2 linked regions of the Saccharomyces cerevisiae S288C genome follow. The main gene of each other region encodes a partner of the protein of the gene in region 2 in a complex. Each region holds a gene or a part of one and is shown on either strand. Other genes may lie near its edges. The genes, in order: COX2 and COX9. A codon is read from its position in the direction of its gene.

The links.
Region 1: the proteins of COX9 (region 2) and COX2 are in contact, whole or in part, in a cryo-EM structure (PDB 7Z10), measured with the Saccharomyces cerevisiae proteins. Residues at the interface, in NP_010216.1 of Saccharomyces cerevisiae: Ile10 (codon at 1,320), Arg13 (codon at 1,311), Asp17 (codon at 1,299), Ile18 (codon at 1,296), Leu20 (codon at 1,290), Gly21 (codon at 1,287), Phe22 (codon at 1,284), Leu24 (codon at 1,278), Gly25 (codon at 1,275), Gly26 (codon at 1,272), Met28 (codon at 1,266), Ala29 (codon at 1,263), Ser30 (codon at 1,260), Trp32 (codon at 1,254), Trp33 (codon at 1,251), Phe36 (codon at 1,242), His37 (codon at 1,239), Lys40 (codon at 1,230), Arg44 (codon at 1,218), Phe47 (codon at 1,209), Tyr48 (codon at 1,206), Leu51 (codon at 1,197); in NP_009326.1 of Saccharomyces cerevisiae: Cys23 (codon at 7,688), Tyr24 (codon at 7,685), Ser28 (codon at 7,673), Ala29 (codon at 7,670), Thr30 (codon at 7,667), Glu34 (codon at 7,655), Leu37 (codon at 7,646), Glu38 (codon at 7,643), Asp41 (codon at 7,634), Asn42 (codon at 7,631), Met44 (codon at 7,625), Phe45 (codon at 7,622), Leu48 (codon at 7,613), Val49 (codon at 7,610), Gly52 (codon at 7,601), Leu53 (codon at 7,598), Trp56, Met57 (codon at 7,586), Thr60 (codon at 7,577), Tyr65 (codon at 7,562), Phe88 (codon at 7,493), Gln212 (codon at 7,121), Arg213 (codon at 7,118).

What each region holds. Positions count from the first base shown.
Region 1 is NC_001224.1:65,008-81,511, reverse strand, and holds COX2 (cytochrome c oxidase subunit 2), read right to left. Parts: upstream 7,755-16,504; coding exon 6,999-7,754; downstream 1-6,998. Other genes in the region: COX3 (cytochrome c oxidase subunit 3), read right to left, coding at 1,490-2,299; Q0255 (maturase-like protein), read right to left, coding at 5,528-5,608, 5,640-5,849, 5,890-7,017. UniProt on the Saccharomyces cerevisiae protein: Component of the cytochrome c oxidase, the last enzyme in the mitochondrial electron transport chain which drives oxidative phosphorylation.
Region 2 is NC_001136.10:333,050-348,665, forward strand, and holds COX9 (cytochrome c oxidase subunit VIIa), read right to left. Parts: upstream 1,348-15,616; coding exon 1,168-1,347; downstream 1-1,167. Other genes in the region: CBS1 (Cbs1p), read right to left, coding at 72-761; isocitrate dehydrogenase (NADP(+)) IDP1, read left to right, coding at 1,786-3,072; PEX19 (Pex19p), read right to left, coding at 3,200-4,228; E2 SUMO-conjugating protein UBC9, read left to right, coding at 4,438-4,475, 4,586-5,021; SYO1 (Syo1p), read right to left, coding at 5,223-7,085; 40S ribosomal protein uS14 RPS29B, read right to left, coding at 7,579-7,749; small subunit rRNA maturation protein TSR1, read left to right, coding at 8,570-10,936; RAD59 (Rad59p), read right to left, coding at 11,188-11,904; USO1 (Uso1p), read left to right, coding at 12,616-15,616. UniProt on the Saccharomyces cerevisiae protein: Component of the cytochrome c oxidase, the last enzyme in the mitochondrial electron transport chain which drives oxidative phosphorylation.

The sequences.
Region 1 (16,504 bases), on a different chromosome or scaffold from region 2:
TAATTTAATTTAATTTAATTTAATTTAATTTAATTTAATTAAGAAGAAGATATATAATTATTTATTCTCCTTTCGGGGTTCCGGCTCCCGTGGCCGGGCCCCGGAACTTTATAAAATTATTAATTATAATAGTCCGGCCCGCCCCGTGGGGCGGACCCACCCCAAAGGAGTAATATATTATTAAATATATAATATATAATATATATAATACATATAATATACTTTTTATATTAATAATATATATATAAAATATAATATAAATAATATTATTTAATATATATATATATAAATATATATATAAATAGAATAAATATTCTATTAATATTCTATATATTAAATACACTTATTAAAGTTTAATTCTAATTCTTTTTAATATATGAACTATTTAATTATTTATATATTTTATTAATATTAATAATAATAATAATAATTATTATTATAAATTAATCTTTAATAATATTAAATAAGTTTATTATAATTAATTAATGATAATTTATTTAATGAATACTTCTTTTGGGACTTTATATTTAAATTTATATAAGTGTGAATTCCTTATTATTTATCATTTATATATATATATATATTTTTATTTTTATTTTTATATAATATTTAATAAACATTTTATATTTAATTATATTATTAAAGATATAAATTATAAAAAGGGTAGGTATTTTGATAATAAATAATATATTATTATATTAATAAAGGGTTTAATAATTATGATAATAATAATAAAGAAATTCAATTAATTAAATTTAATTAAATTTTAAACTCCTTTTTTTGGTTCATATTTATAATATATAGAATATAAAATATACTTTATAAAATAGGTATTCATTCCTCTCTCATGGAGGTTCACACCTATTTTTAATAAAATATAATAAAATATATATAAAATATATATAAAATAGGTGCTCACTTCAAAAAATAATTACATAAATAGTATATTTATAATATATTAATATTTCTCCTTTCGGGGTTCCGGCTCCCGTGGCCGGGCCCCGGAACTATATAATATTTAATAATAATCAAATAAAAAATATTTTTTATAAAATAATATTAATAATATATATATATATATGAATTTATATATTAGTTAAATTAATAATATTTATATTATATTATATCATATTAAAAAAGTCCCGCTGGAGGTGAGGCGGTGACCTCGAAGGAATATAAAAATATAAATAATTACATTATTATATTATATTATATTAATATTATATTTTTTTTTTTATAAATATTAAATAAATTTATTAATTATCTTTATAAAAGGTAAATGAAAAAAGAGTATAATGATTATATTATTATTAGTTCCCGCTTCGCGGGAACCCCGTTAGGAGTTTTGAAGGAATAATATATAATAATTATATTTGTAAGAATATTATTATAATAATATAAAATATATATATATAAATTATAATATATTAATTATTGTTAATTATTAATAATATATATATTAATCATTTAGATATATAATTCTATAGCCTTAGACTCCTCATCAGTAGAAGACTACGTATAAAAATAATCAGATAACATCTAAAACATGTAGATAAATAATAGTTGTTTCATATCCAACATGATGTCCAGCTGTTAAATGATAATTTCTCATTCTTCAATAATTAACACCTAACATAGCTGCTAACATTACCATATGTAAGAAATGTAATCCTGTACCAGCATAGAATACTGAACCATAAACACCATCAGAGATAGTGAATGCAGCATTAGTATATTCAATATATTGACAAGTAACAAAAATAACAATTAATCAGAATGTAATTAATAAACCTGATAAGGCTTTATTTCTATTACCTGCGATTAAGGCATGATGACTATAAGTTACAGTAGCACCAGAAGATAATAAGATAATAGTATTTAATAAAGGTAATTCGGTAGGTTGTACAGCTTCAATACCTACGGGTGGTCAACATGCACCTAATAGTACATCAGGACTCATAGCTGAATGGAAATAAGCTCAGAATAAACCAGCAAAGATTAATACTTCAGATAATACAAACATTAAGAAACCTAAATTAATACCTTTTCTTACTGCTATAGTATGATCACCTAAATATGTAGCTTCAGCTACAATATCTCTAAATCATAAAATAGAACTTGTTAATAATACAAATAATGCTAAATATACCATATTCATATTACCAATATAACCATGCATTGTTAATGCTAGTGATAATGCTAATGATAATAATGCAAATGATACTACAATAGGTCATGGTGAAGGCATAACCATATGAAATGGATGTTGTTGATGTCTACTTCTTTCTAAATGTGTCATAAATTTATTGTTATATATATATTATATATATAATATAATTAAATAAATAAATAAAAAAAATATTAATAAAATATTATCCCTTAAACTATATAATAAAATTAAATAATAATATTAATTTAATAAATCTTTTATTTAATAATAATATAAATTATATTAAATATTTATAATAATATATTATTTATAAAATTATAAAATAAATTTATATATAATTCAATATATATATATTAATTTATATATTTAAATTAAATATAATTAAATAAATAATATAATCGAATTAATATCTCTTTCGACCGGATTATTTATTCAATTATTAATAATATAAATAATTAATTTGTATTGAATATAATTTATTTAAATATTTTATTATTATTATTATTATTATTATTAATTTATTAATATTAAAGGAAATATATTTATTATATTATATTATATATATTTTTTATTATTTATATTTATTATTAATATAAATCATTGATAATATCTTCTTTTTATTTATTTATTATTATAATTAAAAAAGAATCTTATATTAATTAATATTATTTATTTTTTTTTTATTTAATAAATAAATATTATTATATTAAGATAGATATAATATTATATCTAGATTTAGGAAATATAGGGTTCGAACCTATAATCTTTCGTGTGTAAAACGAATGCTATACCAATTAAGCTAATCTCCTTTATAAAATATATACTCCACAGATATATATCCAAAACTCTTATTAATTATTATAATTATTATTTTATTTATTTATATATATATAATTATAATAATTCATATAATTATTATAATCTTATAAATATTCCTATTGAAAATTATACTTTATAATTAAATTTATTAATAATTATTTAATTTAATATATAAAATATTTATTTATATATATATTTATATATATATATATATTTTTATAAGTAGTATATTATATTTTATATATAATAATATTTATAATATATATATTATAAATTATATATAATATATTATATATTTATTTAATAATTTTTATATAATTAATATATTATATATTTAATAAATTTTATATAATTAATAAGGTAAATATAATTTAATGGTAAAATGTATGTTTTTAGGTGCATATTATCTAAGTTCAAATCTTAGTATTTACAAAATAAAAAATTAATATAAATTTATTATAATCATTTATAAATTTATTATAATATTATTATTATATTTATTTATTATTAATAATTATTTATTATTTATTATATAATATTTTTATAATTATATATTAAATATATATAAATTTTATTATAATAAAACTCCTTCTTAAATAGGGGTTCGGTTCCCATGGGGTCCCTCACTCCTTACGGGGTTCCCGCAAAGCGGGAACTAATAATAATATATATTTTTATATATATATTAATATATATATATATTTATAACTCCTTTATTGATATTTATTCTTATTTAGAATATTTTTAATTAAATAATATAATTAAATGAATACCAAACTTATATTATATTTATATTTATATTTATATTTCTCCTACCGGGGTTCCGGCTCCCGTGGCCGGGCCCCGGAACTAAATATATAAACTTTTTTTTATAATATTATATTTATTAAAATATTAATAAATAAATAAATAAGAGATATAATATATATTTTCTTTGTATTAAATATATTATATATATATATATTAATTATTATAATATATTTATTATAAATTAATTATTAATTAATATATTATTATTATTGCCCTTAATGAGAATCGAACTACATGTAAATAAATCTTCAATTTATCGCTTTACCACTAAGCTATAAAAGCTATATATAATATAATACTTATTATTACTTATAATATAATATATATATATATTTATATAATAATACATAATATATATATATATATAAATAAAACATAATATATAATATATATTTTTATATTATTAATTAATTAATTTATTACTTATCTTATTATATATATATATAAACCTTTTATAATATATTAATATATATAAAACTTTAATATTATTAATTATTATATTTATATTTATATTTATATATATAATAAATATATATATATATTTATATAAATTATATAATAAATAATAATTATATTTTATTTATAATTAAAAATAATAATTATATAATATATTACTCCTTCGGGGTCCGCCCCGCGGGGGCGGGCCGGACTATATTATATATAAAATAATAAAAAGTCTATTTATAATACTAATATAATATTATATTAATATTATTTATTAAAAAGTAATTATAATAATATTATTATTTATTTAATTTATTTATTTATTTATTTATTTATTTATTATTATTATTAAATAATATATTATATTTATATTAATTATTTAAGATATAATATTAAGTTCTGGGGGACGGCCCCCCGTATCCGTATCCGTATCCGTATTCGTATCCGTATCCGTATCCGTATGGGGGATCGGAACCCCAAAGAGGAGTGAATACCTATTACATTATATTTATTTTATATTATATTATATTTATTTTATATTATATTATATTATAAATATAAATTATAAAAGGAGTAAATATAATTCTTATAATTTAATTATATTATAATTTTATTTTATTTTATTAATATTTCTCCTTTCGGGGTTCCGGCTCCCGTGGCCGGGCCCCGGAACTATTAATATAAAAATATATAATATTTATAAAAAAATTATACATTAATTATTCTTATTATTATTATTTATTTAATTATTATAATAATTATAAAAAGAATATTTTTATTAAATTATTAAATTTATAATATATTTAATTATATTATAATATATAAATATAATTTTATAAAATAATAAGCTAAATATTAAATATATATTTAATATTAATATCAATATAATATTAATATCAATATAATAATTTAAGATATATTATTTAAAGATTTAATTATAAATATAATAACTCCTCTCGGGGGTTCCGGGTCCCGTAGCCGGGACCCGAAACTTAATTAATATATATTTTATAAATTAATCATTATTTATTTTAAATAAAATATTAATATTTTTATAAATATAAATTCTATAATAATAAATAATAAATATATATATATATAATAATAAAGAATAAAAGAATATTATTAAAAGTTATGGCTATAGCCATGAAGAATTAATTAATTATAAAAATAATTAAAAGAAAATAATTTTATATATTTATAATAAAAGAATAATTTATATATAATTTATATAAATATAAAAAAGTCTCCTTTTTTAATTTTAAGAAGAAGTAAAAATAATAATTAATCTAATAAAATATTTTTTAAAATATATTTATTTATAAATACATTACCATTTTTAATATATTTAGCAATTTCATGTTTAGTCCCGGCCCCAGTCGGGACCCCGAAAAGGAGAACAATTAAAGTAAAGAGCTGCTGGTCTATAACCAGTAAATGTTATAATTAATGTATTATTTAAATCATAAACAAATACTCCAACATTAATAAATTTAGTATTATTATTATTTATAGAATTTAAACGTTGAATATCACTATTTATACGATATGGTAATTTATAATTATAGATAAGATTTATATTTAATACATCATCAATAATATTTTTAGTTCCGGGGCCCGGCCACGGGAGCCGGAACCCCGAAAGGAGAAATATTATAATTAGAATAATATCTTTTTTTATTAATATTATTATTAATTAATTTTAATAAATTAGAACCTTTAAGTGTATTATGTAAACCTTTTATATAGATTTCTATAAGTGTTTTTCATAATTGGAAATCAATTTCTTTACGACTATATCATTTTAATGAATATAATTTAGGTAAAATAACATAATATAAAAAATCTATTCTATTAAATTCTAATTTAATAACTCCATTTTTATCAGGTTTAGTTAATTTAATAGATGAATCTCAATCTTTTAATAATTTATTTTTAATTAATAATGGTGTATTATCAATTGGTTTTCAATTATTTAATACATAAGATTTAATAGCTTTTAATGTATTAATACTACGTTTATGTTGTGAAACATTAAAACCACAAATATTACGTTTTGGAGATAGATCAAATGAACCTTCAGCTTCAATAAAACCTAAAATTCAATAATCATTTATTTTATCATATGGAATTTTTAAATTAGGTATAACTTCATAATTATTAATTGTATTTTTAATATTTAATAAATCTTTATTATTATAAGATATACCATTTAAATTATTAATTATAGCTATTTTTCATTTATAATAACTATAATATTTAATTGTTAAACAAGGATACTTATCAAAAATAGTTACAATATTAGAATATAACCATTTCTTTTGTGAATTTACTAATATAATTGTTTTAAGTAGTTCTTCAAAATTAGAAGGTATATTTAATATATTTCTAATCTTTTCTAAACATGCTTTATCATCAATATGTATTCTAAAACCATAAAAAAATCTTAAATATTTTTTATCATTTAATTTAATATAAAAACTACCATCTCCATCTGTAAATCCTACTAATCATTTATAAAAATTATCTATTTCTAAATTATTCTTATTATTATTTTTATTATCTTTTTGAACAATAATTAATTTATTATTTAAAGAAGTATGATAACCTCTTTTAATAATATTTATATTTTTAATATAAGGTGATTGAATAGAATATAAATCTATATCTTTATTATATTTAAGAATATTATTATAATTATTATTATTATTATTATTTTTAATAATTAAAAATATTAATAATAAGTAAATATTAATTATTGTTCATTTAATCATTCCAAAAATTTAGGTAATGATACTGCTTCGATCTTAATTGGCATATTTGCATGACCTGTCCCACACAACTCAGAACATGCTCCATAGAAGACACCTTCTCTTTGAATTAAAGCAGAAACTTGATTTAATCTACCAGGAGTAGCATCAACTTTAATACCTAAACTTGGAATAGCAAAATCATGAATAACATCAGCAGCTGTTACAACGAATCTAATATGTGTATCTACAGGTACAACTATAGAAGTATCAGTATCTAATAATCTTAATTGACCTTCTTCTAATAATTCATCAGGAATAACATATGATTCAAATTCAACAGTTTCACCACTATCATTAATAAAATCTGAATATTCATATTTTCAATATCATTGATATCCAATAGCTTTAATAGTTATAGCTGGTGAAATAACTTCATCACATAAATATAATAAAATAAATGAAGGAAAAGCAATAATTAATAAAATTACAGCTGGAAAAATTGTTCAAATAACTTCAATAGTTTGTCCATGTTTAATATATTTATATGCAATAGGATTTTTTGAATATGTTATAACAATTGTATATAACATTCAAGATACTAAACCTAAAATAACTAATAAATAAAACATAATATTATCATGTAATTCTAAAATACCTTCTTGATTTGGTGTTGCTGAATCCTGAAAATAACATGCATAAGGTGTTGGTACATCATTCATAATGAATGTTGTTAATTGTAATCTTAATAAATCTAACATTTTAATAAATCTTAACCTTTAGACTCTTTTGTCTATTTATAATATGTTAATACTACTTTTAATTAAAATTTATTTATAATTTATTATTATATATTATAAATTAAAATAAAAAATATTATATTATATTATCAACCCCACCTTTTTTTATTAAAAATAATTAAAATTATATATTATTTTTATAAATAATATATATAATATTATTAATCATATAAATATATATTTTATTAAAAAAAAAAAAATACTAAAACTCCTTCGGTCCTCCTCCCGTTAGGGAGGGGTCCCTCACTCCTTACGGGATTCCCGCTTCCCAAAAACTAATAATATTCATATCATATATATTAATATTTATTAAAATATATAATATTTAGATTATATATAATATATATAATTTTTATTATTATAATATATTAGTGATTACCTTATTTATAAAGGTATGAAGCAAGGAGTTATTATTTATTATTATTATTATTATTATTATTATTAATATAATATATATATAATATATTATTAATTTTTATTTATACTCCTTCGGGGTCCCCGCCGGGGCGGGGACTTATATTTATATTATTAATATAATATATATTTAAAAATAAAATAGTCCGCCCCGCGGAGGGGGGCGGGACCCCGAAGGAGTCCGCCCCCCTTTTTATTTTATTTTATTTAATTTTAAAGAAGAAGAATTATTTATATTTATTTATTTATTTATCTCCTTCGGGGTTCCGGCTCCCGTGGCCGGCCCCCGGAACTGTAATAATATATTAATTTAATTAATATTTTTTATAGATAAATATACATTATATGTTTTTATTAATTAATTATTTATTTATTTATTTATAATATATATTTAAATATTATATTATATATATATATTTAAAAGATAAATTATATTTATAATTATTTAATGAACATCTATTTAATAATAATAAAATAGTCCGGCCCGCCCCCGCGGGGCGGACCCCGAAGGAGTCCGGCCGAAGGAGATGTGAATCCTGCTAGGAGGAGTAATTATTTATTAATATTATTTTAATATATATAAATATTATAATCATTATTACTTGTAGAAGGAATTGAACCTTACATTATTTATTTATGAGACAAATGTTTTAACCAATTAAACTATACAAGCTCCTTAATTATAATTATTATTATAATTAATACAATATTTACTCTTTATTATCAATATTTATACCTTATTTTATAAATATAAATAAAAGATATTAATTATTAAAATATTAATAAATATATTCTTTAATAATTTATAATTATAATATAATAATTATAATAATAATAATTTTTAATAAAAAATAAAATAATTATAAAATTATAATCTTATTATATAAAATATATAATATATTTATAATTATTAATAAAAAAGATAATTATATAATTAAAATTAATATATATATATATATATATATAAAGGTATTATTAATTAATTAAAAATATTAATATATTTGTTAATTAAATAAATAAATAAATATAAATATTATCTAATTATAAATTTATTCTTAGTAATTAATATATATATAATATTATATAATATAATATATATAATATAGGTGTTAGTTTAATAATATTCTTTATTATATATAAATATAAATAAGATATCTTATACTATATATTATAATAAATTATAAATAATTAAACATAATAAATATAATTTATATATACATATTTATTTTTTATTAATTTATAACATATTAATAAAAATAATAAATATATAATTTCTTTAGAATACTTTTTATTCTCCTTCCGGAATTAATAAAATAAAATAATATAATATAATATAAAATATAGATACTTATTTAATTTATTAATTAATATATATATAAATATATTATTATATATAATATAAATAAATATATAATATAATATAATATTAATAATTATTATTATATACCTTTTTATAAATAATTTAAATATTTATAAAAATATTTTAATAATATTTATAATATAAAATTTATCATTTTATAAAAATTATATATATATATATAATATATAAAATAGTTTCTTCTTACATAAAATATAATAAAAATTATAAAATATATTAAATTATTAATAATTATATATTTAATGAATAATCTTAAATTAATAAATATCAATAAATATATCAATAAATATAATATAATATAATATAATAAAATTATTTATTATTATTTATTTATTATTATTATTAATACATACTTTTTATATTATTTTCTTTAATATATATATATATATGATATATAAATTAAAATATATATATATTATTATCGTCCTTAATAGGAATTGAACCCATCTATTCTCATTAACAGTGAGATGCTTTAACCGATAAGCTATAAGGACATATTATATAAAAGAATAAATATATATTAATTAAATAAATAAAAACCCTTATTTTATATATTTTATTAGTTCCGGAAGGAGAATAAATAAATAAATATATAAATATATAGAAATATAACTCTATAATTAAATTTATTAAATACAGATAATAATTATTTTATTATTAATTTTATTAATAGTTCCGGGGCCCGGCCACGGGAGCCGGAACCCCGAAAGGAGAAATATACATTTTAGAATTATTTATATATTTTTTTTATAAAAGTATATATATATATTATAAAGATAATATAAATTATTATTTATTTATTAATTAATTAATTATAATTATAATTATAATTATTATTATTTATTTATTTATTTATATATATAAATATATTAATATAATTATTATATAATTTTTTTTTTTATAAAGTATATATATATATAATTTTATATATTAAATTATGTATTAAATTAATTATTCATTGGATTATATTAATTTCAATGGATTTGATTTATAATAATATATAATTAATAATAAATTATGAAGGGAATAGGAATTGAACCTATGAAGACCTAAGTCATTGAGTTTACAGCTCAACTCCAACTACCAACATTGAAAATCCCTCCTTATATATTAATATATATATATATTATTATCTTAATATAATATATATATATTTATATAATTATTATAATATATTTACTCTATTTAAGATTTATATCTATATATATATAATATAAATATAAGTTCAATTTATCTTATCTAAAAGAGATATTTATTAATAATAATTTATGATTTATAAATTAATAATAAGATTTAAATATTATTTATAAGTATATATTATTATATTATAAATTATTTATATTATTATTTAATTATAATATTTTTAATAAAATAGTCCGCTCCCCTCCCGCAGGGGAGGGGGCGGACCCCGAAGGAGTGCGGGACCCCATGGGAACCGCATCCCTTTTTATTCTTAATTAAGAAGGAGTAATAAATTTATTTATAAATATAAAATTAATAATTAATATTTATTAAATATAATTAATAATAAAACTCCTTATGGGGTTCCCGCTTCGCGGGAACTATATATATTTATTATAAATTAAATAATTATTTATTTATATATATATATATATATAATTATATTTATATTTATTATTATTATTATTATAATATATATATTTATATTTTATATATTAATGATATATAATATGAAACTAACAGGGATTGAACCTATATTTGTACCTTATCAAAATACTATTCTAACCAATTGAATTATAGTTTCTATTTCATTAATTATTATATTTAATTAATTTATATAATAATATTAAAATTTATTATAATTTATATATTTATTAATTATTTATTAATATAATATTTATTAATTTATTAAAATATTTATATTATATTATAAATATCTCCTTCGATTAGATAATTTATATTATTTATTAATATAATATTTATTTAATATTTATATATATATATATATATATAATTTATTAATATATATATTATATAATATAATTATTGGAGTTAATGAGACTTGAACTCATATTAAATGCATGCAACGCAGTCGTTCTACCAAATTTAACTATAACCCCATTATATTTATATTTATATTATTTATAAAAAAAATAAAAATATAAATTATTATTTCTTTATATAATATATAATATTATTATAATATTATTCTTATGTAATTTATTTATATTAATTAAATTAAACTATATTATTACTTATAATAAAATATATATTAATGAAAGATTAAAAATAATATCAAAGTAAATAAATATTATTTTATAAATTTATAATAAGTTTTTAATATATTATTATCTTATTATAAAAAATTAATAATTAATTAATTAACCCTATATTAAAATATAAAATTATATACTTTTTATATAATAAATAATAAATAATTAATAATTAATATATAAATAATTATAATATTTTATATTATTCTCCTTTCGGGGTTCCGGCTCCCGTGGCCGGGCCCCGGAACTATTAAATATTTTTATTTAATAATAAATAAATAAATAAATTAATTAATAATATTTATTAATATATAATATTATATAATATAATATAATATCTTATAGGATTTGAACCTATATAATTAGATTCGTATTCTAATATTTTACCATTAAATTAAAGATATATACGGAAAATATGAGATTCGAACTCATAAGAATTTACAATTCAATTACTTAGCAAATAATCCACTTTACCTATAGTTAATTTTCCTTTATTAAAAAAAATATAATAATAAATAAATTAATAAATTAATAAATAAATTAATAAATTAATAAATTAATAAATTATAATAAATTATAATTATTTTTTATATTATTTTCCTTTCGGGGTTCCGGCTCCCGTGGCCGGGCCCCGGAACTATTAATAAGTAATAAATAAATAAATAAAAAGAAGAAATATATTAATGAAATTATATAATAATTAATAAATTATAAAATTATGATTTTTTACTATTAAATATAAAATAAAAATAAAAATATTAATAATAATAATATAATATAATATAATATAATATAATATGATCTAATATAATATAATATAATCTAATTAATTAATAAGATTATAAATATTTATAATAATATATATTATATTTATATATATATATAATATATATATATTTTATATATTATATATAAGATTATTAAAAAATAATAGTAATAAATATATTGTAAGAAATAATAAATTTATATAAAAATTAATTATTATTAATAAATATAAAAATAAGTCCCCGCCCCGGCGGGGACCCCGAAGGAGTGAGGGACCCCTCCCTATACTATACTAATGGGAGGGGGACCGAACCCCGAAGGAGTATTATATTAAAATATTTATTTTATTTTATTTATTTATTATAAAATATTAATTAATATTAATAATATATTAAATATATAATGAAAGATTAAATAAATAATTTATATAAAATATTAATATAAATTAATAATAATAACAAAATAATTTATTATTAATAAATATAATAATAAAAAAGATTATTATTTATTTTTTTTATATTAAGTATAAATATACGAATCTAATCAGATTTGCACTGACATCCTCCATTATGACAAAATGGTACTTTACTATTAAGCTACAGATCCTTTATTTTATTATTATTATTATTATTACTCCATTGGAATAAAACTCTTTATTAAAATTTATACCTACTACTATTATTATAATTATTATTATAAAATTTAATATATTAATAATATATATATATTTATTTATATTATTATTATATTATTTATTAAATATATAATATTATATATACTTTTTTTATTATAAAATAATATTTATAATTTATATAAAAAGAAATATATTAATTATATTATATATACTTTTTTATCAATAAAAAATTATTATAGTCCGCCCCGCCCCCGCGGGGCGGACCCCAAAGGAGGAGTAATAAAAAATATATTAAAATATATTATAGTTCCGGGGCCCGGCCACGGGAGCCGGAACCCCACAAGGAGATTATTATAAATTATTATTATCATTATTTATTTATAAAGAATAATTATTAAAATATTTTTATTTTTTTTTTATATAAATATTTATATATATATATATATTTATAATATTGTATTTAATTAAAATATAATATATTTTGTTATAATATATTTATAAGAATTATATTTATTTATTAAAATAATAATAAATAAGTATATTAAAGAATTATTATAATAAATTATTATTAATATTAAATATTATAAATATGATTATTTTATTATATAAAATATTATTATTAAATAAAATTAAATATTATTATTATTATATTTTTATATAATAATAATATAATATTATAATATAATATAATATAAGTTTTAATATAATTTTGTATTTAATTAATTATAGGATATTAATTTATATTAATATTAATTATAGATAGCGAGAATCGAACTCGCATTCAATGTTTGGAAGACATCCAGTTTACCAATTAACTTATATCTATTATTATTATTTCATTTATTATTAAATAGTAAATTAAACTTCTTAATTTAATTAAAAATGGGGGGGGGATTATTAATATAATATAATTACTCTCTCCATGATTTGAACATGGAATATTAATATTAGAAGTATTATGCTTTAACCATTAAGCTAAGAGAGCTATTTTTATTAATATTTATTAATAATTATAATATATTAATATTATTAATAAAAATAATTATTATTATTTATTATTATTATTATTATTATTATTATAATATATATATATATAATTATATTATTATTATATATAATTATTATTATTTTTAGAAAGGGAAATATATATATATAATATTATGAGAATAGCTGGAGTTGAACCAAGCATGGGTTGCTTAAAAGACAACTGTTTTACCATTAAACAATATTCTCTATTGTTTATACATAATATATATTACTCCTTTGGGGTCCGCCCCACGGGGCGGGCCGGACTATTATTAATATATATATATATATATATTTATATAAAAATTAATTAAAATATTTTATATATATAAATTAATTAATTAATTAATAACATAACAAAAGGATTAAATCCACCCTCACTATCCATAATTAATACTACTCCTTTCGGGGTTCCGGCTCCCGTGGCCGGGCCCCGGAACTTAAAATATTAAATATTAAATATTAAATATAAAATATTAAATATAATATATTAATTAATTGATACTTATTCCTTTATTTATTATTTATAAATCATAAATTATTATTAATTAATAATTTAATTAATAAGTCCCCAAAGGAGTATTAACATTTTATAATTAAAATATAAATATTAACTTCTTTATATTTAATATATATATATATTATATCTTATAAAAAACTTATATCCTTTTTTTAATATTTATATATTATAATTAAATTAAATAAAATAAAATAAAATGAAAGTATTTATTTTTTTAATAAGATTATTAATTATTCTTTTTTCAATTAATAAGAATTATATATAAATAAATATATAATATAATATAATATAATAAAACTTTTATATATATACTATATATATATATATTATTATTATGATTATTATTATTATTAATAAGAGTTAATAATTCAATAATTTTTATATTATCATATATTATTAATTAATTAATATAAAAATAGGAGTATAATTATATATTTATATATAAATAATATATATATTATAATATTGAATCGGTTTGATTCGAACAAACAAACTCCAAACTCAAATTTTGGTAACTTACCTATTAGTCTACGACTCATTTATATATATTATATATATTATATATATTTATTGCTATTTAAAGGACTTGAACCTTCATACTGTAAAGTAATACATCTTAAGAGTATCGTGTCTACCAATTCCACCAAAATAGCTATTAATTAGATAGTTATTAAAAAAAATAATATATATATTATATTTATTAAATATAAAATAATTATTAATATTATAAAATATAAATAAATATATTATAATATAATAAATAATAATAATATTAATATAATTATTATAATTAATGCCAGACCGAACTCCTTCGGGGTCCGCCCCCCCCCGCGGGGCGGGCCGGACTATAAAAACTATTTTAAAATTATATTTTATTAAAAATAAATTAAAAGAATTTATTATTATCCTTACTCTTTTTATATTAATAATAAAACTCCTTTCGGGGTTCCGACTCCCGTGGCCGGGCCCCGAAACTATTAATAAATAAAAATTATTAAATTATAATTTAAGTCGAACTCCTTCGGGGTCCGCCCCGCAGGGGGCGGGCCGGACTATTTATTAATAATAAATTATAAATTAGTATTAATAATATATTTAATCTTTAATATATATATAAATATAAATAAAAAATTAATTATTAATATTTATAATATTTTTATTTTATTTAATTAAAAAGGATATATTAATAATTTATAAAGGAAATATAATTTATATTAAGTATAAACTTCATAATAAAATTAAATATATAATTTATTTTATTAAAATTATTATTATTATTAATTTTATTATTTATAATATTTTTATTTTATAATTATAAATATATATAAATTACATAAAATATTTTATTATATTATTACTTATATAACATTATTATAATATATACATATACAAATTTATATAATATTTACATAATATATTTATATTTATTATTTTTATATTAATATATATAATATATATTTATCATTAAATTATTATTTTTAATAATCTTTTTATAATTATTTTTATATATTGAATAAATAAATAAATAAATAAATAAATAATGAAAAATTTATAATAATAAAAAGGAATTGTTTTATATATTTATAAAATATTCATTAAATAAATTATAAATCTATTGATTAAATATTATATTATAATAATAAATAGTCCGGCCCGCCCCGCGGGGCGGACCCCGAAGGAGTCCGGCCGAAGGAGTCCGATCGAAAGAGATAAAGAAATATTATTCATTTTATTTTATTT
Region 2 (15,616 bases):
TAATTGTTTTTACGTACTTATTGTAAATAAAACAAAGGGATAACGGACAAAAAGGCATCGTTTCTTTTGTACTATGATTTACGCAAATGGTAATTAATTAGAGGTATGCATATAGTTTTTATAATTGATTCAATGAATTTTTTGTTATCGTTTTTAATTTCGAGTAATTTCAGGTAACCAATAAAGGATAAGATCACTTTCCAATCGTTCAAGTTCTGAAAATCATTAGAGCTGGAAGTTAATCCCATTTCCTTCGGCAAATTGGCAGGTATTCGCAAATGAGCTAATTGGTTAATTTTCAACGAATTCTTGATAAGCCAGCTTATCGAGTCCATGTTCACTACTCGAGCTCGATCTAAGTTATGAATGTAATTGAAGTTTTTGTTCATTATATTAAACTGATTGAAATTCGTAAATGTTATTGTAAGCATCTTATTAATTTCCAAGTGAATGAGCTGTTCACCCAATTTTTGTAAAGTTTCGTTTCTTGTTTCAAATGTATTTCCTGTGCTCAAGTCTCCAGTCATTGGTACTCGTACCAACATATTCCTGCTTGTGGTATATAGCAGTTTAGTTAGTTCTTTAGTCGGTATGCGTTCCTTTCCTTTATATCCGTCAGGATTAACTTCAAGGACTTCACACAGTTTTTCTATCTTACTAATATTCTTTTTCGTCACCGTGTTTATAGTTCTGATGGGAATATACCTGCGAATCCCAGATATTCGAGCAACAGTAGTTGCAAACACTTTTGTCCTCAACATGTCGAGATTCATTATCTGATTTATTCTTTTATCCTGCTATAAAGAAACCATAGAAGAATAGAAGCAAAGGGGTAGTACGTGGCACCTCCTAAAGGTAATATTGTACTATTCCTAGTTCACTCAAGGTCTGCCTGTCTTATTCTCCACATACATTTTCTATAACTCTTTTTTTAAGTTTGTTTTTATTTTAGTTTGACACTACATAAATATGTAAAACTATTTTTTCAAATTATACAAATAGAAAATTATGATAAAGGTCAAAAAGAAAGAAAAGAATGACTTGTCTGTTTTCCTTCCCTACAAACTCTTGCAAAAGTAATCAATCGAGGCCAGCACAGAAAAAAAATAAAAGATAAATAAATAGGAATAAGAATATAATGCGAAAAACAATAGTGGTCAGGTTCGGTCAGTTCTCTTGCTTTTTCCTCTCAGCTAGCTCTGCGTAGAACTTCTCTCTCTTGTTAATCTTATCCATGTGGAATCCCCACCACCAGTAAGAGGCCATGACACCCCCGAGGGAGAACCCGAGGACGATGTCCATGATGACTCTTCTCTTGATCGTACCAGTAATTGGAGCAATAGTCATGTCTGTGTAAGTCGCTTGTAGTTAGTAGTTTGCAAATATCTTGCTTGCTCTAATTCTCGGTCCTAATTTTCCCTGAAGATAAGAGTCTCTTTCATCGATTCTTTTAATACCACAGGAACAAAGCGGGCATCGTGGTAGCGGGCCAATCAGGTTGCAGTAAATGAAGAGATATAGAGGAGGACTCTGCTAAAGACCATAACAAGGGTCTGCAATGATCTTGGACTAAATAAAGGTGTCTTACAATCCAAAAGAGCTTGAATCATTCCTTTTATGAGCTAAATAGCACCGTTTGCACCTTCTGATAACGCTTTACGGGTCACGCGCGGATTTTGACTCACATAATTCCACTTGCCCATATAAAGAGGGACTCATATGATCTTATGAAATCTTCCTTCAAGCAATTGTGAGACAACAGACGCACAAGGAAGATCGCCCAGCATGAGTATGTTATCTAGAAGATTATTTTCCACCTCTCGCCTTGCTGCTTTCAGTAAGATTAAGGTCAAACAACCCGTTGTCGAGTTGGACGGTGATGAAATGACCCGTATCATTTGGGATAAGATCAAGAAGAAATTGATTCTACCCTACTTGGACGTAGATTTGAAGTACTACGACTTATCTGTCGAATCTCGTGACGCCACCTCCGACAAGATTACTCAGGATGCTGCTGAGGCGATCAAGAAGTATGGTGTTGGTATCAAATGTGCCACCATCACTCCTGATGAAGCTCGTGTGAAGGAATTCAACCTGCACAAGATGTGGAAATCTCCTAATGGTACCATCAGAAACATTCTCGGCGGTACAGTGTTCAGAGAGCCCATTGTGATTCCTAGAATTCCTAGACTGGTCCCACGTTGGGAAAAACCAATCATTATTGGAAGACACGCCCACGGTGATCAATATAAAGCTACGGACACACTGATCCCAGGCCCAGGATCTTTGGAACTGGTCTACAAGCCATCCGACCCTACGACTGCTCAACCACAAACTTTGAAAGTGTATGACTACAAGGGCAGTGGTGTGGCCATGGCCATGTACAATACTGACGAATCCATCGAAGGGTTTGCTCATTCGTCTTTCAAGCTGGCCATTGACAAAAAGCTAAATCTTTTCTTGTCAACCAAGAACACTATTTTGAAGAAATATGACGGTCGGTTCAAAGACATTTTCCAAGAAGTTTATGAAGCTCAATATAAATCCAAATTCGAACAACTAGGGATCCACTATGAACACCGTTTAATTGATGATATGGTCGCTCAAATGATAAAATCTAAAGGTGGCTTTATCATGGCGCTAAAGAACTATGACGGTGATGTCCAATCTGACATCGTCGCTCAAGGATTTGGCTCCTTAGGTTTGATGACTTCTATCTTAGTTACACCAGACGGTAAAACTTTCGAAAGTGAAGCTGCTCATGGTACCGTGACAAGACATTATAGAAAGTACCAAAAGGGTGAAGAAACTTCTACAAACTCCATTGCATCCATTTTCGCGTGGTCGAGAGGTCTATTGAAGAGAGGTGAATTGGACAATACTCCTGCTTTGTGTAAATTTGCCAATATTTTGGAATCCGCCACTTTGAACACAGTTCAGCAAGACGGTATCATGACGAAGGACTTGGCTTTGGCTTGCGGTAACAACGAAAGATCTGCTTATGTTACCACAGAAGAATTTTTGGATGCCGTTGAAAAAAGACTACAAAAAGAAATCAAGTCGATCGAGTAATCGAATTTACGTAGCCCAATCTACCACTTTTTTTTTTCATTTTTTAAAGTGTTATACTTAGTTATGCTCTAGGATAATGAACTACTTTTTTTTTTTTTTTTTTACTGTTATCATAAATATATATACCTTATTGTTGTTTGCAACCGTCGGTTAATTCCTTATCAAGGTTCCCCAAGTTCGGATCATTACCATCAATTTCCAACATTTTCATGAGTTCTTCTTCTTCATTACCGTGTTTTAGGGGGCTGTTCGCACTTCTAATAGGGCTATCACCAAGCTGTTCTAATTCGTCCAAAAGTTCAGTAACACGATCTTTATGCTTTAGCTCGTCATAATCTTTCAATTCATAAATATTTACAATTTCGTCTACGATATTAAATTGCCTCTTGTAGGTGCCTATCTTTTCCTTATGCTCTTCATTTTCACCGTTTTCTTGAAACCAAACACCGAACTCACTACGCATTTCTTTCATAGGCTCATATAATACTTCTTTTGACGTCATTTGATCAAGTATTTTTGTTATTGCGTCGTCCATCTCCCCATCTTTTAGATCAAATTGATTTTCTGCACTTTCTTTTCCACCAGATGCTACCATTTGATCTAATAATTGTGACAATATATCATCAATATTATTATTTTGGCCACTGCGTTGAGATTCCTTGGTTTCTTCGGCTAGGGATGTATCAACTTTATTACCATTTTCCTTTAACCTGTCTAGCGTATTGGAAACAATGTTTTTAAATCCCGGATTGCTACCATTCACGGTCCCTTTATCAGTGCTGTTACTTTTCAAACTACTACATCCTTGCTCCATCTGTTGATGAGGTACTTTAGCTGCCTCTTCTAGAGCACTAATCAGTTTATTAAAATCTTCTGTCTTCACATTATTCTCGTTACCGTTATTTTTCATCAAATTTGCGAACTCATTTTGCAAATCTACCATCATTTCTTTCAATTCTGGGTCCTCTTCAGATTCATTAGCTACCTGTACGCCATCACTGTCCTTACTTTCGGCATTCTTCTCTTTGTTTTCACTATCGTTGTACACAGAACCCTTCGCTTGCACATCATCGGGCTCTGCTTCATCCAGTTTAGTGGGATCTTCATCTAAAAGGTCATCCAAATCATCAAAATTATCGTACTCGTTTTCATTCATTACTTCGTGTTGTATGTTTGGCATTTCTTCTTTCCGTCAATACTTCGGTTCCCACAATTTGTAATTCTTTCTTCACTTTATATCTCTCAGAAACCGCGTTTAACATCTGGAAATTAAAAATTATTCCTGTCTCCATAACAAACATTTAAAAAAAGAAGAGAAATTTAGCATAGGATAAGCACACACTGGCACCATTTTTTGGAAGCAATATGAGTAGTTTGTGTCTACAGCGTCTTCAGGAAGAAAGGTAAGTAGTAGTTTTCCTCCTTTTATGCTTACATTCTGTAGGCATACACAATTTCATCCAGCGGTATACTAACAAATCGATGAACTTAACTTGTTTTACTTGAATAACAGAAAAAAATGGAGAAAGGATCATCCATTTGGATTTTATGCCAAACCAGTTAAGAAAGCTGATGGGTCCATGGATTTACAGAAATGGGAAGCTGGTATCCCAGGCAAAGAAGGTACAAACTGGGCGGGTGGTGTGTACCCAATTACAGTCGAATATCCAAATGAATATCCTTCAAAACCTCCAAAGGTTAAATTTCCAGCCGGATTTTATCATCCAAACGTGTATCCAAGTGGCACAATATGTTTAAGTATTTTAAATGAAGATCAAGATTGGAGACCCGCCATCACGTTAAAACAAATTGTTCTTGGGGTTCAGGATCTTTTAGACTCTCCAAATCCAAATTCCCCTGCTCAAGAGCCTGCATGGAGATCATTTTCAAGAAATAAGGCGGAATATGACAAGAAAGTTTTGCTTCAAGCTAAACAGTACTCTAAATAGAGGGAATCCATCTTTCCCATTCTTCCTCCTTTTGTACTTTATTTAACTAATGTCGTTGTGTAACAAAAATAGAGCAAAATAACATTATTTACAAATTCTCAAAAATAATTTTTTGCTCTTTGTTTCTTATGCTAAGTAAATAGAAAGATATTTTTTGTACCATTTTCTATAAGTATGGCAACTATATACACTTTAATAAATCTATTGGTTAGTAGAATTTTCATTCATTTTGTAGTGAATGAAACTATCCAACGTAGTAAAGCAATCATGGCATCTTTCTTTTAGTTCGGGATTTTTGTTTTTATCAACCATTTTGAATTGCTGCCTCAAATTTGGTACAACTTGGTCTTTTAGAATAGATAAAAATCCACCCCTTACAAATATTGGTTCATTATAGTCGTAAGAGGCATCCCCGTAAATTTGGAAAAGCGAATTTGTCATTTCTATCAAAATTTCAGGGCGAACATTCAACTGTGTTAAAGTTTGTATGAAGAACTGCCCAATCTCCTTATTTGCATCAATTTGTCCCTGAATCATAGCATATGTGCTTAGTACATTAATACATTTTTGTTGTAACTCAAGGTCATTATTATTTTGGAACTCTTCAATAATTCCCCTAGCGAATCCTGAATTGTTCAGCATTTGGACATTGATCAATGCTCGATTCTCACTTTCAAACGCTCCATCAGGAAAGATGAGTTTCAGAAGCGCCCAAATACAGCCCATTCTTCCTATTTTAATACTCAAATCATCTTGGCTGTCCAACTGTGTAACATAACTCCATAAGGTGGTTAACAACTCTCCAGAGAGCTCTGTTAGAGATAGAGACACAAAGAGCCAGATCAGATTGTTCCATCCGATCAATATTCGCGAGGTGAAGGTATCTTTCAAAATCATGAAAACGTGAGGTAAGAAATTTGTTAAGGTATTGATTAGCTCCTCTGGAATTGCTACTTCCTGTGATTCTGGTGATTCATATTTGGATGCAACTATCTCAATGATTGCGGTGATAAGATCAATTGCTATTTCAATGCTTTGCAATTTTATCATGGATTCGTTACGTTTCGCATTGTAATCCTTGATCTTAGTTATAACCTTACTGCTTTCATCTTTACTAGTAGCAGGTCCAATTTCTACAGGGTTATTAATGTCATTAACTAACTGTACTGGATCAATGTTATTAATGGAATGACATACAGAGTGGATCATTTTGTTACATTGATCATAAGTTATTTTCATGTCAAGGAATTGGCAATGGATACCTTCAATTAGAACTTTTGTTAATTCATTAGCTTGTGGATGTAAAGCCGGAGATAGCCCATTTAAGAACTGTGATAGAAGTTCATTGTTGGAAACATGATCAATAAATTCAAATGATTCGGAACTCAAATCATAAATGAGATCAAGAGTGGTATTGAACAGATTAATTGGCAGTTTCTCGACACCATATTTTAATAGCTGTGAAATGACCTGAAAAATTTCATTTATTTTACTTTCCGTTAATATCTCATTAAGAATATCGTCGGATCCATTAGACAGAGCCACCACTAACGACAGTAAGTTATCGGCAAAATCGAATAACAACCTTTTAGATTCTATTTTGGATTTTCCTGCAGGTTTTAGCTGCGGTTGCTGTTCTGCTGCTTGCAAAGCGGATAACGATTCAACAATCCTGCCAAAATTACTTGTTATACTTGTCCATATATCAGATCTCCAAAGGTAGATTGACACATCATAACCTTCTTCCAAAGACAAGTTCCTTAATAAGCCGAACGACTCCACAACTATGTCCGAATTAGAATCGTTCAGCAATTTATTCAAAATGATAGGAACTAATTTCTCTTTCAGTAAAAGTTGTCTCATATGTGCATCCTCACAAAGAACACTGATGGAACTCAAAGCAATACTTCTATCATTAGGCACCACACTTGACAAATTCTGCAATAGCGGCTGGAGTTTTTTATTAACGACGTTGGTATCTTTATTATTGTCATTTGACCCAGCTTTGCGTAGTGGATTTAATCGAGACGAAGATGCTCTTGATCTTTTCTTTGATCTGCCCATTCTTTTCTGCCCTAAAAAGTCGATTTCTGCGTCCTTGTACAAACTCGAAAATCTGATCGAAAGTACTTGGAATCCAGTAAGAATAATGGGGGCGTTGCTACGAAGATTTAATTTTACAATACATAGACCTTTAAACAATGGTAGATAAATGGATGAGATGAGATGAGATGAGATGAGATGAGATGAAAAATTTTCTGAATAAGAGAACTACTCGTTCTAAATGATTATTGTACATTTTGCATAGAAAAATGGCAATAAACAGGGCAGTACTATTTCATCATCATCACTAAACATTAGTTGGCAAACTTATTAAGCCAACAGTACTTGTGACTAGAATTTTTTATTATATCGCCAATATTTAATGATAAACATAATATAGTAATACCAAAAATAATTATGATAACTTATACAAAAGAAGTGGAAAGAAAAGGAAAGAAGTAATCAAAGTAACTCAAAAAAGGTTAATGATTACGATGTTACAATCGCTCTTGACTTATCTGTACTTGTGGAAACCAATGTCGTTAGCCTTTTCTCTGAAACATTGACGACAGATGTTTAAGTCGTACTTTCTGACCAAACCAGTGTGGGAGGAGCAGACACGACATTGACGGGAACCTTTACCGAATCTTCTTGGGTGGGAGAACCAAACGTTTTCGTGAGCCATTTTGTATATATTCTATAACCAATAAGTTTTCAAAATTGAATAGAAAAATGTTAGTATTATAATTTTTGCAGTTTTTATGTTTTCCAGGAGTTCCATGGACGTGTACAATAGAATTTTTCGACTATCGAAGTTAAAAGGAAATAAATATAAGCTTATGCTATGGCTCATTGTATTTGACATAATTTGAAGCTTTGTTGATGTTTGATGCTTGTTGCTACATTCAATAAACACATCGTCTTATTCCACCATGGGGCCACCAGAAAGGCTCCCCCCTACTGCTAGCCACAGATATTTTCCTCGAATTTTCAATTCTTTTAGTTGTAAATTTTAGTTACAAATCCAAATCAGCGCAGATACTTTCCTGCTGTTCCTTCATTCTGCATACACGTCCCTTGTCTCTTCAATCCGCGTTTCCACATACATTTAGCTATAGTTTCTTTCAAAGAATTTCTCAAACTACTAATCCCAATACCTAATAACCACTTCTTGTACTGACGGTTATACCTTTAAGACTTGACGCTTTCCCAGGCAAAATGTAACATTTTCCACCGCGCTGTTCGTACAACGCGAGAAGATCTTTATAAAGAGTACCCAGATGTTCCCCCCAAGTGAAATAAATAGGCCTACTTAGGACTGGGTGTTAAAATGTACGGATGGAAAAGTAGACTCGATATTCAATTACAGCTAAGAAAAATTTTCAGTTCTGCTCATCTCATCACCAGTAAAAAAATGTGTGAGTTAGAAGTTGATATGAGTTGTGATATTAATCGCAGAAATTTATTTGTTAGTTGAAGAGCGGTAGTTTTACGCAGGCATCAGAATGGCAGGTCATTCACACAGGTCATCATTAAAAAACGGACACAAATCTTACAAATCCAAACATGCTTCTAAAGGTGCTTTGAAAAGATTATACAAGGGGAAAGTGGAAAAAGAACCCGTGGGCACTGGCAAACCAGACAAACAAGTTTCAAAATTGCAACGTAAAAACAAGGCAAAACAATTAAGGGCCCAAAGGATCTTGGATTCCATTGAAAACAGGAAATTATTCGAAGGAAAAAATGGCGCTGCCAAAATCATTACTATTGTTCCGTTAGTGAATGATTTAGACCCATTGGACATTCTTTACAAGCTATTAAAGTGTGCAGATGATGAAGGAATCATGGTGCAGGAAGTAGACTCAAAACGTATATTTAATGTTCATATAAAGAAGTTTAAAAGCAATCTTAAAATCATAATTCCAGACATGACCAATTTTTTGAACATTTTAGATTGCGCTAAAGTAGCAGACTTTGTTGTGTTTGGGCTCAGTGGTGTCCAAGAAGTCGATGAAGAATTTGGTGAGCAGATCATCCGTGCGTTAGAACTACAAGGTATTGCTTCATATATCGGTGTCATAAGCAACCTCTCAGCAGTCCATGAAAAGGAGAAATTCCAATTGGATGTCAAGCAATCCTTAGAAAGTTATTTCAAGCACTTTTTCCCAAGTGAAGAACGTGTTTATAATTTGGAAAAAAACTCAGACGCTTTAAACGTCTTGAGAACATTGTGCCAGAGGCTACCAAGATCAATCAATTGGAGAGACAATAGAGGTTACGTAGTCGCTGACTTTGTTGATTTCGTTGAAACCTCTCCCGATTCTGGTGACCTGGTAATTGAGGGGACCGTCCGTGGTATTGGCTTCAACGCCAATAGACTGGTCCATATTCCTGATTTTGGTGACTTCCAACTGAATAAGATAGAAAAAATCAGTGAATCTTCGCAGAAAAGGAAAATAATAAAGGAAAAAGCTACAGATAGTCTGAGCTTAGAGCTGGATTTACAAACAGTTTTCGAAAGTAATATGAATAGAGATACTTTGGACGAATATGCCCCAGAAGGCACGGAAGATTGGTCAGATTATGACGAGGATTTTGAGTACGACGGTTTGACAACCGCGAGATACGACGACCATGGCTTCTTGCCAGGGAGGGAACAAACATCAAAAAAGGCGGCAGTTCCTAAGGGAACTTCTGACTATCAAGCGAAGTGGTACTTGGATGACGTCATTGACGCAAATGAGGAAGAAGAGGCAGAACAGACCAATGGAAAGGATGAGACAATGATGGAAATTGATGATGAAATGATGGTGGAGCAAGACAATGAAGAGGTAGCAGGCGACGAAGAATATGACATAGAGGATAATGAAGGATTTGAAGAGCTTTCACCCGAAGAAGAAGAACGTCAACTGAGGGAATTTAGAGATATGGAAAAGGAGGACAGAGAGTTCCCCGATGAGATCGAACTAGAGCCCAGTGAATCTGCCATCGAACGTTTGAAAAGGTATAGAGGTTTGAAAAACTTATACAACTGTGATTGGCAAGTTGATGAAAAGGACCCATCATCACCAGCGGAATGGAAACGTCTATTAAGGATTGGCAATTACAAAAACACTAAAAACAGAATCATAAAGGAAACCAAGAATGAAGCACAGGCCATTGCAGGTGATCGTATTAGGATGTTCATCAGGTTTCCTAAGTTTCTGCTTGAAAAGATTCAAGATCCTAAACAACTATTATTTGCTGTCTACGGATTACTACTTCATGAACACAAAAATGCGGTAGTCAACTTCTCTCTACAAAGATGGGAACAATATGACAAACCTGTGCCTTCTCAGGAGCCTATCGTAGTACAATACGGTGTTAGAAGATACACTATTCAACCTCTATTTTCTCAAGGCTCTAACAGTCCTAATAATGTTCACAAGTATGAAAGGTTTCTGCATCCAGATACAGTATCAGTTGCCACATGTATTGCTCCCGTAGATTTCACCCAGTCACCTGCAATTTTTTTCAAGCCATCACCAACAGATGCCAAAAATATTGAATTGATTGGTCACGGTACATTCCTGAATGCAGACCATTCAAGAATATTAGCAAAGAGAGCCATTTTGACCGGTCATCCATTCAGATTCCACAAAACTGTGGTTACTGTACGTTACATGTTTTTCAGACCAGAAGATGTGGAATGGTTCAAGTCTATCCCACTGTTCACCAAATCAGGTAGGTCAGGTTTCATTAAAGAAAGTTTGGGTACGCATGGTTATTTCAAGGCTACATTTGATGGTAAATTATCTGCGCAGGATGTTGTTGCTATGTCCTTGTACAAACGTATGTGGCCCATGCCTTCGTTACCTTGGAATGGTATGTAAAGTGATAAAAATATACACGTATATATATATATATATATATATATAAGTACGTGAGATCTATTTGTATAATATAATGCTAATAAAATAGTATCAACGATACTGTTGATAAAGGTAAGTCGATACCTGTTCCGTTCGCATCAAATACAAATGCCACTTATTTTGTAGAGGTATTAATGCATTATGTGAAAATTATGACTTTTTATCAAGCAAAATAAATTTGCTACTTGTGCCCTTTTTCTTTCTTTTTTTTTTTATTTGATATGCGTGCCTTTAGCATCCTCCAATTTGATAAAAGTCGGCTTGCTATTAGTCGCTGACAATAAGTTGTAATTGGTGTTAGCTTCATTTTTAATTTTTTTTGAGCCATACAAGCCATCGACATAGTAATTATTTGTAATCTTAGTCTCATAATCGAGTATGATTTTTTCAAAGCTCAATAACGCCTTCTTTAACGCATCGCCTACAGCCTCTTTTTTCGACCTGTTATAACATTCACCTCTCGAGGACAAAGTAATTCTACCTAGCCCACCACACTGTGTGTTGGTGCCATCCTTTAAGGTAACCTTTACTTGGGCTTCTGCCACAACTGTATACTTGACCTCACTAGTGTTGGTGTTTTCTCCATTATTTACTGCGGTGAAGGGCTGGCACTCCCGGGCCTCAACATCTATAACATCCATTCGCCAACCATCATACCCGAATGTTTCATTAGCGAACTGAATGAGAGCATGCCCTGGTATCAGCTTAGATAAGTTGTGCTTCCCATATTTATTATTGTGGTAAATATTGTACGTGTACCTTTCGATCTTGGACTGTAGAAGCCCAATCCTCTGCACCGACCAAGCGCTGGCAGGTCTTCCATTCCAATCTTCGATGATTTGGAACTCTTTTATATCCAAGCCCGGTGCTGTGCCGTATGTAGTCGAATCATACGATATGCTCGAACTGGGCTTCGCTTGTATCGTCATTATTTTGTCTGTTTATCCTGAAATATGCTCTTCTCCTCTACGTAACCCTTTAATGGTCCAAAGCATGTGCTAAACTGCCACAGACTCCCTCAATGATGTTCTTATCCTTCCTTGCCGTTACTGCTTCCTATCATATCTGCCCTTGCCAAACTGTGGCTTCCTCTAATCAATTTGCCCCAGTACATTGAAAAGCACGTGACGTGACACCAACTTGAAAGACATTAGTGTCCAACGCGATATAATGGTCAATAAAATACCCAATTTTATCAAGTGAACATGATATTATTCAATACTATAGTACTTTAAAGAAAACTTCAACAAGTTGCTTCATTGCTATATTATACAATTATGGGTGATGCCGGTCGGCTAACCTTTCTTTCGCAGCGCCACATACAAGAACATATGGTAATTACTAAGAACTTTTTGGAAACTATTTCCATGAAGAAAACAAAATTTACTGGCTTCTGTCTTCGAAGTAAATTTAGCGAACTTGATACTTTCGTTTGGACAGTCGTTTAGATTTGCAACTGTCTGTTCTTATTTCTTGCTATTATTACCAGAAATAAAGCCTAAAGCGCGTGGTTCTTACGAAAAAAATAGACCTTGCACATTAACAGGGTTTAGACATCACAGAGACTGAATACTGGAGAGAAGACAATTCTTGTTCACGACTTCGAGTGATTAATATCTATAACAACCCTCCTATCAAGAATGGACATCATTCAAGGACTGATACAGCAACCAAAAATTCAATCTGTGGATGAAACCATTCCGACGTTGTGCGATCGAGTTGAGAACTCCACTTTGATTAGCGATAGGAGATCCGCTGTGCTGGGATTAAAGGCATTTAGCCGGCAGTATAGAGAATCAGTGATTGCATCCGGGCTAAAACCGTTGCTCAATACTTTGAAACGTGATTATATGGATGAAGATTCGGTAAAGGCTATATTAGAAACAATTTTGATTCTTTTCATCAGAGGCGATGGCCATGACGACTTAACTAGAGGTTGGATTTCTCAACAATCGCGGTTGCAGAATGGCAAGTATCCCTCACCATTGGTGATGAAGCAAGAAAAGGAACAAGTAGATCAGTTCTCGTTATGGATTGCTGATGCTTTGACGCAGTCTGAAGATTTAATTCACCTACTTGTTGAATTTTGGGAAATCGATAATTTCCATATTAGATTGTACACAATTCAATTACTAGAGGCAGTGATGGCCACGAGGCCGTTGAAGGCGAGAAGTGCTTTGATTTCACTTCCAACGAGCATATCCACAATGGTCTCACTCCTAGATGACATGCATGAGCCCATCAGGGATGAAGCTATTTTATTATTAATGGCAGTAGTGAACGATTCACCTCACGTTCAAAAATTGGTTGCTTTTGAAAACATTTTTGAAAGGCTCTTTTCCATCATCGAAGAAGAAGGTGGGTTAAGAGGCTCTCTCGTCGTCAATGATTGTTTATCGTTGATCAATAACATCCTGAAGTATAACACTTCTAATCAAACTTTATTCCTTGAGACAGGAAACTTGCCAAAACTGGCACACCTTTTGAGTGAACCAATATCTCAAGATGAAGTTTTTTTTTGGAATGATCAAAGGATAGTTAATATCAATACAGCTTTAGATATCGTCAGCCTAACAGTAGAGCCAGGAAATACTGTCACCACTAAGCATCAAAATGCGTTGCTTGACTCAAGCGTATTAATGGTTGTGTTGCGACTTGCATTCTTTCATAATATCCCAAAAAAAGTTAGACCGGTTGCTCTTTTGACTGCCGCAAACATGGTTAGAAGTAATGAACATGCACAGCTAGAGTTTAGTAAGATCGATGTTCCATATTTCGATCCTTCATTACCTGTAAACTCTACTGCAAACGGTGGTCCAATTAAATTAATTCCTGTAGTCAGCATCTTGATAAATTGGATGCTCTATGCCAACTCCGTTCACACGTTTGATACAAGAGTTGCGTGTTCTAGACTATTAAAGGCTTATTTCATGGATAATTTTGATCTTCAAAGAGATTTTTTACTAAAACAAGTCCAATTGTGTAATAATTCAACAAATAATGTCGGCGACAATGCTAAAGAAAATGGTGGTTCTAACAAATCTGATAAAGAAAGTGATTCAGATAAAGATACCGACGGGAAGGATGGCACTGAATATGAAGGTTCTTTCAAGGCAAATCTATTCGAAGTCCTGTTAAATTATGACGCAGAATTGAATCTGAACCCTTTTAAATTATTCTTCACAACTGATATTTTTATGTTTTTTTTCCAACAGGATCACAAATATAGCGAAGAACTACGTGAAATAACAAGAAATGTTACCACCGGTAACGATCTCGAAGACGAAGAACCCTTAAAGGCAATTCAAACAATAAGTGAATTGCTAACTACTTCCCTTACTGCTGCTGACATAAGAATTCCTATTTCCTACTTAACGTTCCTAATATATTGGCTCTTTGGCGACTTTAAGGCCACGAACGATTTTCTTTCGGATAAATCCGTGATTAAATCCTTGCTTTCCTTCTCTTACCAAATTCAAGATGAAGACGTTACTATCAAATGCCTTGTAACAATGTTACTAGGTGTGGCATACGAGTTTTCCTCGAAAGAATCTCCATTCCCAAGAAAGGAATACTTCGAATTCATCACTAAAACTTTGGGAAAAGACAATTATGCTTCTCGAATCAAACAATTTAAAAAAGATTCATATTTCTCAAAAGTTGATATGAATGAAGACAGTATACTAACTCCGGAGCTTGATGAAACTGGTTTACCAAAAGTTTATTTCAGCACTTACTTCATACAGTTATTTAATGAAAACATATACAGGATCAGAACTGCATTGTCTCACGACCCTGACGAAGAGCCAATCAATAAAATATCTTTCGAAGAAGTCGAAAAATTACAGAGGCAATGTACAAAATTGAAGGGTGAGATAACTTCTTTGCAAACAGAAACGGAAAGCACCCATGAGAACCTCACCGAAAAATTGATTGCGTTGACTAATGAACACAAAGAGTTGGATGAGAAATACCAAATTTTGAATTCCTCACATTCTTCGTTGAAAGAAAACTTTTCCATTTTGGAAACTGAATTGAAGAACGTCAGAGATTCCTTGGATGAAATGACGCAACTGAGAGATGTACTGGAAACTAAGGACAAAGAAAATCAAACTGCTTTACTGGAGTACAAAAGCACAATCCACAAACAAGAAGACTCTATCAAAACTTTAGAAAAAGGACTTGAAACTATTTTGTCTCAAAAGAAAAAGGCAGAAGATGGTATAAACAAAATGGGTAAAGATTTATTCGCTCTGAGTAGAGAGATGCAAGCAGTTGAGGAGAATTGTAAAAATTTACAGAAGGAAAAAGATAAAAGCAATGTCAACCATCAGAAAGAGACTAAATCACTAAAAGAAGATATTGCGGCAAAAATTACTGAAATAAAAGCTATCAATGAAAATCTGGAAGAAATGAAAATTCAATGTAATAATTTATCAAAAGAAAAGGAACATATTTCGAAGGAACTTGTTGAGTACAAATCCCGCTTTCAGAGTCATGACAATCTAGTAGCGAAACTAACAGAAAAATTGAAATCCTTAGCAAATAACTATAAGGATATGCAAGCTGAAAATGAGTCTCTAATAAAAGCTGTAGAAGAGTCAAAAAACGAAAGCAGCATACAATTGTCTAATTTGCAAA